3 linked regions of the Saccharomyces cerevisiae S288C genome follow. The gene in region 2 interacts genetically with the main gene of each other region. Each region holds a gene or a part of one and is shown on either strand. Other genes may lie near its edges.

What was found.
Region 1: mutations in LCB1 (region 2) and LCB3 together harm fitness more than expected from each alone (negative genetic interaction), as found in Saccharomyces cerevisiae (5 studies listed by BioGRID, with this or other methods).
Region 3: mutations in LCB1 (region 2) and FAT1 together harm fitness more than expected from each alone (negative genetic interaction), as found in Saccharomyces cerevisiae (4 studies listed by BioGRID).

The regions. Positions count from the first base shown.
Region 1 is NC_001142.9:156,635-160,565, reverse strand, and holds LCB3 (sphinganine kinase LCB3), read right to left. Parts: upstream 2,379-3,931; coding exon 1,149-2,378; downstream 1-1,148. Other genes in the region: DPI8 (Dpi8p), read left to right, coding at 719-943; 40S ribosomal protein eS21 RPS21B, read left to right, coding at 3,293-3,316, 3,777-3,931.
Region 2 is NC_001145.3:858,715-862,504, forward strand, and holds LCB1 (serine C-palmitoyltransferase LCB1), read right to left. Parts: upstream 2,178-3,790; coding exon 501-2,177; downstream 1-500. Other genes in the region: GSR1 (Gsr1p), read right to left, coding at 1-176; carboxypeptidase C PRC1, read left to right, coding at 3,208-3,790. UniProt on the Saccharomyces cerevisiae protein: Component of serine palmitoyltransferase (SPT), which catalyzes the committed step in the synthesis of sphingolipids, the condensation of serine with palmitoyl CoA to form the long chain base 3-ketosphinganine.
Region 3 is NC_001134.8:316,648-321,423, forward strand, and holds FAT1 (long-chain fatty acid transporter FAT1), read left to right. Parts: upstream 1-1,618; coding exon 1,619-3,628; downstream 3,629-4,776. Other genes in the region: FIG1 (Fig1p), read left to right, coding at 321-1,217; CST26 (putative acyltransferase), read right to left, coding at 3,769-4,776. UniProt on the Saccharomyces cerevisiae protein: Acyl-CoA synthetase required for both the import of long chain fatty acids (LCFAs) (C14-C18) and the activation very long chain fatty acids (VLCFAs) (C20-C26) by esterification of the fatty acids into metabolically active CoA-thioesters for subsequent degradation or incorporation into phospholipids.

The sequences.
Region 1 (3,931 bases), on a different chromosome or scaffold from region 2:
TTAACGAATATGGGAATCGTGATTAATTAAGTGAAGTTACGATCCCAAGATAAAATAAGGAAGTTGTTGAAAGAGGAAAGAATCGATGAAGAAATGAACGACAAAATTACTTTTGTCAATTGTAGGGTACGAAACACCAAGAAATGCAATAAGTGCTATGTAAAGGTGATCCAGTCTTGGTTAGCACACACGCCCAGTTTCTCGAGAGACATAATGACAGTAAACGGTGAGTATAAAAAAAAAGCAAAAAAAAAAGAAAAAAGGAGCAATCGTTCGTTACAAACGATCTAGACTTGATGAAAAAAAACCCTAAAATGTCTCAGACCTAAAACAAAACCCTAAGAAGCACGTGATACAAACCTGTCACGTGCAACATTATGGGGTATGGGTGTGTCACACATTTGAAAAAAAGTGGGCGGAACGTGTGTGGGGGGGTGTCATGCCATTTCCACATTTGGTTGCTCTGGAGATAAGATCCACGAATGAAGGTGAGGGGCATGACTTCAGGGATCAATTTCCCGCCCGCAAGTTAGTTTTTCCGGTGGGAGCCGAGCATCAAGCATGACCACTTCCTGGTGCAGAGAGAAAGTTTCACACATATAAAAGAATAAACCGAAAGTAATGTAGGGAGATGTTTAATGTGATTTTTCACCTTTGTTTTAATGATTACGCACAAGTTTAAATATTACATTCATAAGACAGTAAATAAACGTATTAAATGATCGCCCAAAGTACCAGATTAGCCGCCGCCGTCTCTTCTTCAGCCGCCTCCGCGGGTGTCTCAAGGATAGCCGCTAGCGCCATGGCCAGCACTATTTTCAAGAGATCTCCGGGCAACTCGTTCAACTCTTTTAAGGAATATAGAGAAAATGCCAAGACATATGGTCCCTTGAGTGCCTCACTAGCTACCAGAAGACACTTGGCTCACGCGCCAAAGTTGTAGGCGTATCTTAATTATGCTCTTTTCTTTCCTGGTTTATTAATGATGATGACTTTAACCTATTCTTCTTTTGGGGTCCTGGTACGGTGCCTCAAATTTTTATACAACATGACTTTTTCAGTTACATATTTTTTTATAAGTACTTAATTTAGAAACGGATACATTTACACTACATTTTGTCTATTTTTTTTTTTTTGTTCCTTTTGTTTTATGCTATATTTAAGAGGGAAAATAGGACGGGGCTGCACATTACAACGGTGAATGGAACGCCAGCATAGATAATAAATCTACCTAGAATGTCAATCTTGGGCTCTCCAATATATAATGGACATTCGTACTTGCTTGCACCTTCTTTGTGCGTGGCCTCCAGTCTTTTTCTTGCCGCAACGTTTCTGTCATCCTTCAGATGGAAAACTTTGATCAATAACGTGTAGATCATCGGTTTGCTGATCACGTACTTCCAGATAACAACGCACGGTAGGCCCACCAGCAGCCTGGCTAAGGTTAACCGCCAGCCACAGTTAGGTTCCAAATTGTACACCAGGGTGACTCCAAACACTTTGCCCAACCAATCACAGCATTCAATACCTGACACAACGCCCATGAACGCAACACTATCTTGGAAGCAAGGACATTCGTCTACGGGCTTAACATGTTTAAACAAAAGAAGAAGACCCCATCCCACACTAAACAAAGGAAACCACCAATGCTCCTCAATGCGTAAACCCGGAAACCTGTACTTGAAATACATCCTAACAATGAAACACACTATTCCAATGAGCCCACCGCTTACTAAATCTAATATGCCATGCATCCCACAGTATATTCTACCGAAAACCAAAGTCATATAATAAAATAAAACCACACATGACAACAATAGTTGGACCATGACAGAAGATTCTTGCATCCTCCAGATGTTGTAGAGAAACAAGAGACTCACTCCTGTTGCATTTGCTGTATGGGAGCTTGGAGCACCATATTCCTTCGTTGTATATTCACTTAACGTAATTCGATGTAATGGAGGTGCTCTAGGCCTGGGCAAGCACCAGTAATCTTTAAAAAAACCACTCAAGTAGATAGAATATCCCAAGATATAAACCATATCTTTTGTTGTTTCAAAATATCCAAACCACACGGGCATAGGTAAACACAGAACATAGAAGGTATGCGATCCCATTAAGGAAGTATAAGTAAAGTAGAGATCATTAAACGCAGAACGGTACTTCTTTTGCCAGCGGCTTAATGTGAATGATTGATTGTTGGTAAACACTAACAGCTTCTCTCTAATATTAAACCGAAATTTGGACATTCGAGTTCGAAAATGATCTGAGGGATGATTACCGGGATCCAGCAAGTAATTAGGCTCTTGAAAGTCATTGGGGTTAGAGAGAGTCCTGGCTCTTTTCCTAATGTTCGAGGTATTCAGTCCATCTACCATTTTTTATCTATACAAATGGCTTGTGTCCGCTGGTCTGGTAGGTTTGAAGAATTTCCTCTACGTGATGGTTGTATGTAAACAAACTTTCTTAAACTCTGCTTTTTCTTACTGCCCTTATAATGTGACGACAACTTTAGCGCAAGGTGAGGGAAAAACAAAACAGCCAAGCGTAGTTCAGTCACATGATAAAGGCAGTAGTTCAATTTGGTACTAAGAAACATTTTTTGCAACATTTTTGCCTTGTTATTCGTGAAATGAATATCTGGCGATATTTTGCACATATTTGGTTCCAACAATAGCTGGTTGAACATACATCTACTTAAGTTCTCTCTTCTTTTTTTTTCTCTTTCACTTTTCTACATATGTACTGTTGCCATAGTAACGTAAATTATGTAAAATACTTATCCGCATCAGGGACTGAGAGTCCAAAACGTAGGCTTGAAAAACCAAAAATAATGCAACAAGTAGCATAATAAAATGGGACAAAGAAAGCACTATCGAGGTTGTATCCGTGTTTCTATATAGGAGTGAAAACTTCTGGGGAGATTACCTTTTGACGACAATGTGTTTACACCCGTACACTTTATACATCCATACATCTCCATAACTTTTAAGGAATGAAATAAATGCTTTATGTTTCGCCGCGTCTCTCGCCGGGAGCTGGTGGGCACGCTTCGAGCGAGTTCGCTAGTGAGACCACTGCCTTTATTCTGGTTCTCTTCATCGGTGGTGGGAACCATACCAGCTGGCTAGTGGGTCCGTTTGAAGCGAATCTCGGCTCTGTATAATGTAAGAACTAGTAATTGAGGATTATAGGATTGAAAGTTTTATAAACATTGTTAACGAATTTGACTTTAAAGGGGAATTTCAGTTAAAAATCTGATAAAAAAATAAAAGAATATCAATAAGCCAAAATGGAAAACGATAAGGGTCAATTAGTACGTAAATTATAGCAGATGATGGCGCGCAAAGGAAGAAAGAAGAGGACTGAGTAAGCGTGGACAGACAAGGGAGCATCGACAGAAAAATAAAATTATAATAAGTTAAGTGTGCAAGATTAGTGGTACAAATAGGGTGGGACCAACATGGGTTTATAATCATATTGGTTAGTAATACATCAAATTCAAGAAAATGCAAATAACCCATTTAAATTGGCACAAGTGTTACCTGATACTTTATCATGTGTGGTCTAAGTACACATCTCTAAGAAATGTGGCGTTTTAACGACAAAATTGGAATCCCAAGAGAGATATGCTGAAAAGACATCATAATTCCGAATTAGTGGGTTTCCATATTCCAGAACTACTCTTAGAACTTTTCTTTCATTCATGTGCAGAATAATTTTACAAGAATATAAGCGCAAATGTACTAACATTGAATAATTTCTTTTTTTACTAGGTTGAATTATATGTTCCAAGAAAGTGTTCTGCTACCAACAGAATCATCAAAGCCGATGACCACGCTTCTGTTCAAATCAACGTTGCCAAGGTTGATGAAGAAGGCCGCGCCATTCCAGGTGAATACATCACTTACGCTTTGTCCGGTTACGTTAG
Region 2 (3,790 bases):
GCTTGTTCAAAAGGTTGGGCTTCCTGCACAGCGTCTAGAATAGGATCAGCAACGGAAGCAGTACGCATCTTCAATCTTGCCTTGTCATCTTCAGAAATCTTGACATCTGAGGCACGGTTCGCTCCGTCATGATCACTCGTGTTACTGATACTGGATTTCTTTCTAAAATGCATCATATTGCCTTGGTGTGCTGTTTTAACCTTGTTTGATGTTTGCTGTGTCTCTTGTGTTAGTTCTCTGCCTAGTGAAACCGAAAATGCTCAAGAAAGCGTACCACGAAAGTACTCCTTTCTTTTCTATTAATAAATAAACAAATAAATAATACAGGTTGCTTTGCCTCGATGGTAAAAGGAAAGAAAATTTCGGATCCGAAAATTTTTAGCGCATTCTCTGGGCGCCGTGCACCACGTCAATTTGACAGAGATGATGTTACGATTATTTGTATTATTGTATAAATATTTATATATATATGTGCGTGTGCATATACTGGCTTTCTATTTTTATTTATTAGATTCTTGGCAACAGGCAAGGATGGACTGCTTGACACTTTCGCAAGCATTTTTGAGTTCCTCTGGGGACATGGCGGCGTTACAGCAGATTTTCAAGCTAGGGACAATTGGTAGCGTCTCCTGTTTTAAAACAATAGTGTTTCTTGTGATGAGAACGTTGTAGTTAATAAGAGCATGATCTACTATGGACTGCAGAAATTTTTCCTCCTCTTCGTATGGCTCAATGAATTTGTTTGTCTGGGACTTCTTTTGCAAAGCTGACATGGTTTCGAATAGCTGTTCGCAGGTGTATCCGAACTTGCGAGACCTATATGCGGGAGTCAGTTGCAGATGTAGGACAGCAGACACTGGAGAGGACGTGACGATTACGTATGAACGCAAGGAGTCGTCAGATGCAAAGGAATCATGCAAAGATTTGGATAGTTTTTGCAGCGTCTGGACGGCGTCGTTGTTGGAGTCCATCAATTTCAAGACTTTGGAGACGGATGTGACGGTGTAAGCCGGCAAACAGGCAGAAAAACAATATGCATTGGAACCAATACGCTGGTGCAAACACATAACACTGTCACCCAGGACAAAACCACCGGTGGACCCCAACGCGGTGGCCATGGACCCAACGGTAATGTCAATGGCAGTTGCGCGATCCATGTTGAAGTGCTCTGACAACCCACGGCCCGTAGCGCCAAGAACACCAATGGAGAAGGTTTCGTCAACAAATAGTCTGAACTTGTACTTGTTCTTCAGCTTAGTCAACTCAGGCAACGGAGCTAAATCGCCCGAGTTGTGGAAAATACCCTCAGTGACGATAAATTTTCTTGGAATGGCGGGCAGTTTCTCAAGTTTCTCCTGTTCGGTCAACTCGTTTAATAAACATTCTAGCGAATTCATATCGTTGTGGTTGAAGTAGTAGACTGTGGATCTGCTTAGTTGCAGAGCATTTTGCACTGGTAATGACACCTGGTCGTCTGCCACGATAACATCACCACGCTTTGTGAAAGCAGGCAGAACAGAGGGTGCGGCACAAAAGTCTTGCCCGTACAGAACGGAACCTTGGGTGCCAAAGAACTGTGCTAAATCATATTCCAACGTGTAATGAACGTCCTGGTTACCGTAGAACCCGGCGGGACCACAGGCGCCCACACCGTAATTCTTGATAGTGGTCTTGACCACTTCTTTCACGGGCTCCGTAGCGGACAATTGCAAAAAGTTGTTCGAGGCCAAATTGAAAACATTGGTATACTTCTCCTGCAGGTTGTTTCTGGTGATAGTAATATGGTTCTGAATGGGCATTTCCATGGTGACGGGTGTTTTGGCCACCCTCCACGATTGCTCATCGGTGGCAGAAGGGTCGACTAGAGGCTCGGGCTCCCAGTCCTCAATTAGCGCGTCAATCTCCTGGGGCGATAGGTTGGGCTTCTGTGCTTGAAGACTCTTTTTCTGTTGTGGCTTGGACAAGTAATAGATGATCCCGTATAAAATAAGCCCTATCTCAACCGTGGTCCTGTATGGATCGTCATGATGCGATTTCTTGATGTACGAAACGATGAATTGGCCTCCCGGGATTTGAGTCAACACCAGATTGAAGTAGTACCATAGGTACGATGAGGTGGTAACAATAAATGCCGGAATCGGTATTGATTTGGGTAAAACCTCTGGGATGTGTGCCATTGCTTTTTTTTTTTGGGTGGGAAGGAAGAAAAAAGGATAAATAACCCTACACGAGCAAAATGTGTATATTGGAGGCCAGGCAGAAGGTTAGAGCGCTCTTATACTGTGCTACTCGATGATGTTGAAAAGAATTTTTTTTATTTTTCCTTTTCTTTTTCTTAAGTACTATATTTTCTCAATCTTACTTTCGTTCACTACAGTTAACCGCAGCAATATGCCCCTATAAAAAAGAATGAGTGAAAAATTTGTTAGCAGAGAAGCAAGAAGGAAAGAAGGAAAAAAAAAAGAAACCGTGTAAGAAATCATGGCGCCTCAAAAAAAAAAAAATACGCGAAATCGATTTCCGTATATGATGATACATATGTTAGGTCTCTTATGGTAGTTTTTAGGGTCTGTCCTGTTTTTTGAAGGCATTGGTTAGGGTCTAGTAAGTAACTCGTATAAAGAGATGTACTTTTATACGGTATGTGTGGCGGTTATTTCCAGTGTTTTTTTTCCCTTATTTTGTGGGTTCATGGAAATAGTACATATTGACCTTCTGCACAAGAAGCCATATTGACAGAGCAGTATGTGAGGACCTTTCTTCTACACAATGTAACAGTCAATGGTTGTAGTCAATACCACGACCTTTACGTGCAGTTTTAGAGCGAAACTTCGGTTTTTTGAGACTTACCTCGTGTTTGTGTCTCCCTGGGAATGGAGCCGCGCCACCCTTGTCTATTATGTATAGTCTTATTTAATCATAGCGATGTTGGTCATCCAGTACACTTCGGTAGCAACCTTCGTTTGTGATTGTCTTGGTAATTGCTTCCAACAACTTTATCCATCATTGAGACAGGGGCCATATCACCCGCGGGGTCTCAAAGAAGGGGCCCACTAATAAAAGCACGAGATAAGAATGCCAGCAAAAAAGCTCCGAAATAATTCTTTTCGTCTTCCCTCCTAGTCTTAACAAGACAAGAGAGAGAGAGAGAAAGAATACTCACTAGAGATTGTTTCTTTTCTACTCAACTTAAAGTATACATACGCTATGAAAGCATTCACCAGTTTACTATGTGGACTAGGCCTGTCCACTACACTCGCTAAGGCCATCTCATTGCAAAGACCGTTGGGTCTAGATAAGGACGTTTTGCTGCAAGCTGCGGAAAAATTTGGTTTGGACCTCGACCTGGATCATCTCTTGAAGGAGTTGGACTCCAATGTATTGGACGCTTGGGCCCAAATAGAGCATTTGTACCCAAACCAGGTTATGAGCCTTGAAACTTCCACTAAGCCAAAATTCCCTGAAGCAATCAAAACGAAGAAAGACTGGGACTTTGTGGTCAAGAATGACGCAATTGAAAACTATCAGCTTCGTGTCAACAAGATTAAGGACCCTAAAATCCTGGGCATTGACCCAAATGTCACACAGTACACGGGTTACTTGGATGTGGAAGACGAGGACAAGCATTTCTTCTTTTGGACTTTTGAAAGTAGAAACGATCCTGCAAAGGATCCGGTCATCCTTTGGTTGAACGGGGGTCCAGGTTGTTCTTCACTAACCGGGCTGTTCTTTGAATTAGGACCCTCATCCATTGGACCTGATTTGAAACCCATCGGGAACCCTTACTCTT
Region 3 (4,776 bases), on a different chromosome or scaffold from region 2:
TACTATATATTCAGGTAAAATACAAAAATTATAACATTTTTAAAACTTTTTTTTTTTGAAAGTCCTTCTCGCTTTAGGATTTTTTCCCATTAAGATTATGATGGTTTCATGTATGTGTCAGTTAAAAAAAATATGGCTAAGTAGCAATGAAACGAACCAAGAAAATGAAAACAATATATAGTGCTGTTGAAATAACAAAGACATTGGTATATATTTGTAAAATGTCTGTTAAATGTTTTTTATCTCAGGTTCTTGCTTGTCTTTGGTAGAAGAAATTATAGTAAACAAACAAACAAACAAACAAAAAAAAAAAAAAAAAAATGGTCGCAATCTCAATGATTTGGTTTTTTACCAAGCGTATGCCCAGAATATTTGCATTAGCTTTTAATTTAATTTCAATATTTCTTTTGATTTTTCTTCTCATCGGCTGTTACAACCCGTCAAATCAGTCAACATTTCTAGTGAAGTATAAATTTGATGACAACTCACCTTTTTATACGATCATAGAGAAATCATATGAAAAATCAAATACAACTCTGGGCTTGGAGGAAGTCATTATAAGATCCGGTTACATGGGTGTTTGTATTGATAACATTCCCTCCCAATATAGCTCTTACAATAATATGACTACATTCTCCAATTCAATTTGCTATGCAAGAAAGAATTTAAGCTCGGTTCCCTTATACAGAGACTTGGAAATTCAACTCTCAAATATTGCATCTTCCAGCTCCAAAACCCAATCAAGCGTTGTCTTGAACATTTTGAAGTTAGCCCAATTAACTTCGGTTAATGTTATACATCCATATGTCTTGATGGCAACTGTAATCCTAACAATCCTAATGTTTCTATTTATTCTGTATGTAACTGTCCCTAAGTTACCATTCAAACTAGCGGTTAATAAATTTCTACTGTTGCTAAGTTCAACTATAGTTTTGACATGGGGTATTGGTGCGATGTGGACTCATGTAGGGATAAATGCAAGTTACAGATTGGTTCCATCATCAAGTATGAATATAATCACTGTCAAGAAGGGCAAGAAGGCAGCAGTAATGGCTTGGTTTAGCTTTGCATTCCTCCTTTTAGACAGTGTGGTTTTATGGTTAATATTTTTAAGGGATAGGAAAAGCTTGAAAGATGAAATTGATAATGTTCCATGTGCCCAAAATAGGTACAATAACTACTCTTCGGATTCATCTACATTGCATTCCAAAGTTTAGTTTTATCCTCAAATAAACATATAAGTTTTGAGCGGATATTTCAGAATGTCAATTTTTAAAAGTAAAAGGAGAAAAAATTTATATAATTCACGATTAACATTATATAATGTGATGAACTACTTAAAAAATTTAACGTTCGATAATTAAGTAACAACAGAGAAAATATGAGCTTACCTAAACTCTAATCATTACCGTCTGTTTTATTTACTGTCACCTTGATGAGCGACTAAAAAGATAGAACGCGGGTTTTTCGCGCAATGTAACAAAGCTCCAGAAATTTTTTATAAATACTAATGTTATAGCAAAAAAAATAAGGACCTTAAAGTCGTAAACTAAATTGAAAAGCCCAAATCATTCAAATTCTATATCGTTGAACTTTTAATAGGCTGCGAATACCGACTATGTCTCCCATACAGGTTGTTGTCTTTGCCTTGTCAAGGATTTTCCTGCTATTATTCAGACTTATCAAGCTAATTATAACCCCTATCCAGAAATCACTGGGTTATCTATTTGGTAATTATTTTGATGAATTAGACCGTAAATATAGATACAAGGAGGATTGGTATATTATTCCTTACTTTTTGAAAAGCGTGTTTTGTTATATCATTGATGTGAGAAGACATAGGTTTCAAAACTGGTACTTATTTATTAAACAGGTCCAACAAAATGGTGACCATTTAGCGATTAGTTACACCCGTCCCATGGCCGAAAAGGGAGAATTTCAACTCGAAACCTTTACGTATATTGAAACTTATAACATAGTGTTGAGATTGTCTCATATTTTGCATTTTGATTATAACGTTCAGGCCGGTGACTACGTGGCAATCGATTGTACTAATAAACCTCTTTTCGTATTTTTATGGCTTTCTTTGTGGAACATTGGGGCTATTCCAGCTTTTTTAAACTATAATACTAAAGGCACTCCGCTGGTTCACTCCCTAAAGATTTCCAATATTACGCAGGTATTTATTGACCCTGATGCCAGTAATCCGATCAGAGAATCGGAAGAAGAAATCAAAAACGCACTTCCTGATGTTAAATTAAACTATCTTGAAGAACAAGACTTAATGCATGAACTTTTAAATTCGCAATCACCGGAATTCTTACAACAAGACAACGTTAGGACACCACTAGGCTTGACCGATTTTAAACCCTCTATGTTAATTTATACATCTGGAACCACTGGTTTGCCTAAATCCGCTATTATGTCTTGGAGAAAATCCTCCGTAGGTTGTCAAGTTTTTGGTCATGTTTTACATATGACTAATGAAAGCACTGTGTTCACAGCCATGCCATTGTTCCATTCAACTGCTGCCTTATTAGGTGCGTGCGCCATTCTATCTCACGGTGGTTGCCTTGCGTTATCGCATAAATTTTCTGCCAGTACATTTTGGAAGCAAGTTTATTTAACAGGAGCCACGCACATCCAATATGTCGGAGAAGTCTGTAGATACCTGTTACATACGCCAATTTCTAAGTATGAAAAGATGCATAAGGTGAAGGTTGCTTATGGTAACGGGCTGAGACCTGACATCTGGCAGGACTTCAGGAAGAGGTTCAACATAGAAGTTATTGGTGAATTCTATGCCGCAACTGAAGCTCCTTTTGCTACAACTACCTTCCAGAAAGGTGACTTTGGAATTGGCGCATGTAGGAACTATGGTACTATAATTCAATGGTTTTTGTCATTCCAACAAACATTGGTAAGGATGGACCCAAATGACGATTCCGTTATATATAGAAATTCCAAGGGTTTCTGCGAAGTGGCCCCTGTTGGCGAACCAGGAGAAATGTTAATGAGAATCTTTTTCCCTAAAAAACCAGAAACATCTTTTCAAGGTTATCTTGGTAATGCCAAGGAAACAAAGTCCAAAGTTGTGAGGGATGTCTTCAGACGTGGCGATGCTTGGTATAGATGTGGAGATTTATTAAAAGCGGACGAATATGGATTATGGTATTTCCTTGATAGAATGGGTGATACTTTCAGATGGAAATCTGAAAATGTTTCCACTACTGAAGTAGAAGATCAGTTGACGGCCAGTAACAAAGAACAATATGCACAAGTTCTAGTTGTTGGTATTAAAGTACCTAAATATGAAGGTAGAGCTGGTTTTGCAGTTATTAAACTAACTGACAACTCTCTTGACATCACTGCAAAGACCAAATTATTAAATGATTCCTTGAGCCGGTTAAATCTACCGTCTTATGCTATGCCCCTATTTGTTAAATTTGTTGATGAAATTAAAATGACAGATAATCATAAAATTTTGAAGAAGGTTTATAGAGAGCAAAAATTACCAAAGGGTTTGGATGGAAATGACACTATTTTTTGGCTCAAGAATTACAAGCGCTATGAAGTCTTGACCGCTGCTGATTGGGAAGCCATCGATGCACAAACAATTAAATTATGATTTGATGTTCCTGAATTAGGATAAAGTATTTTTCCTTGCACGAGAGTACGTATGTAAACGTAATATTGATAAAGAATCAAAAAAAGTTTTATATCTATCTATATATGTACCTAATAACATATGGAAAGGATTATTTAAATTCAAAAAATAAAACAATAAAGTTTATAAACTAACCAAATTATTGTTAGAGTTGGTAATATTAGCACTTCAGTTAACTCAATACGATTGATCTTGAAACTATCGGTAACTGAATGGTTTGTTTCAGGATCACTTACGAATGATCCAGTGGAATAGTACCTTTCCATTAGAGCATCCTTCTCACTCCAAATTTTATACAGCCATTCTGAAAATTCATTCTCGTCCTCTAATGGAATATCTTTAACATCAAATGCTCTGATGTGAATATCGACTAACTTCGGGTATTTTCCTTCTAAAAATATGCTCTTCAGCCCATATATAAGCTCACCATATTCCTCCTGTTTTACACCGGAGTAGCCGATCGTAATATCATAAAGACTTTCAATACTTGGCTTCAACTTTTGTAACGAGTATCTTAGGCCTGTAGAATGAGGCAGTAGCACATTCTTGAATGGCTTTTTGCCTATTTTGGCAGCATATTTAGCACTTTTTTGCCTAGTATCAGCACTGAGATTTGTACCTTCAGGGAATAGGATAAGATTGTATGGCCAATGGATTTGTTTTGGATCAATAACCTCCGGATTCCATATGCTCTCTCCTTCCTCAGTTATGCGCTCAGGTGACTTTCCAGCAAGTGAGCCGGCGCCCCTTGCATTCGAATCAAGGCCAGCAAGGCTGTTGCTTAGGGTTATTTTGTCTTGTGCCCACTTTCTACTCATAAAAATGAAATTATAGTTTCTCATACCGAAACCGAGGATAGGAATGGAAGCCAACGATTTTTTTAAAATAATGAAGACATTAGCCCCTAAGTTCGATGTGTAAGCCAACCACCATAAAAATATCCAATCCGTGTATATTTGGTGATTGCAAATGGCCACCGAATTGGACTTTAGATGAGAAAGAATCCTTTTCTTCTTCAAGTCTAAAAAAAAAGTACCTTTAGGAACACTGGAATTTTCAGTGGTAATTCTCACTGCAGATGGTGCGACAACATGCAAAATGGATGATAC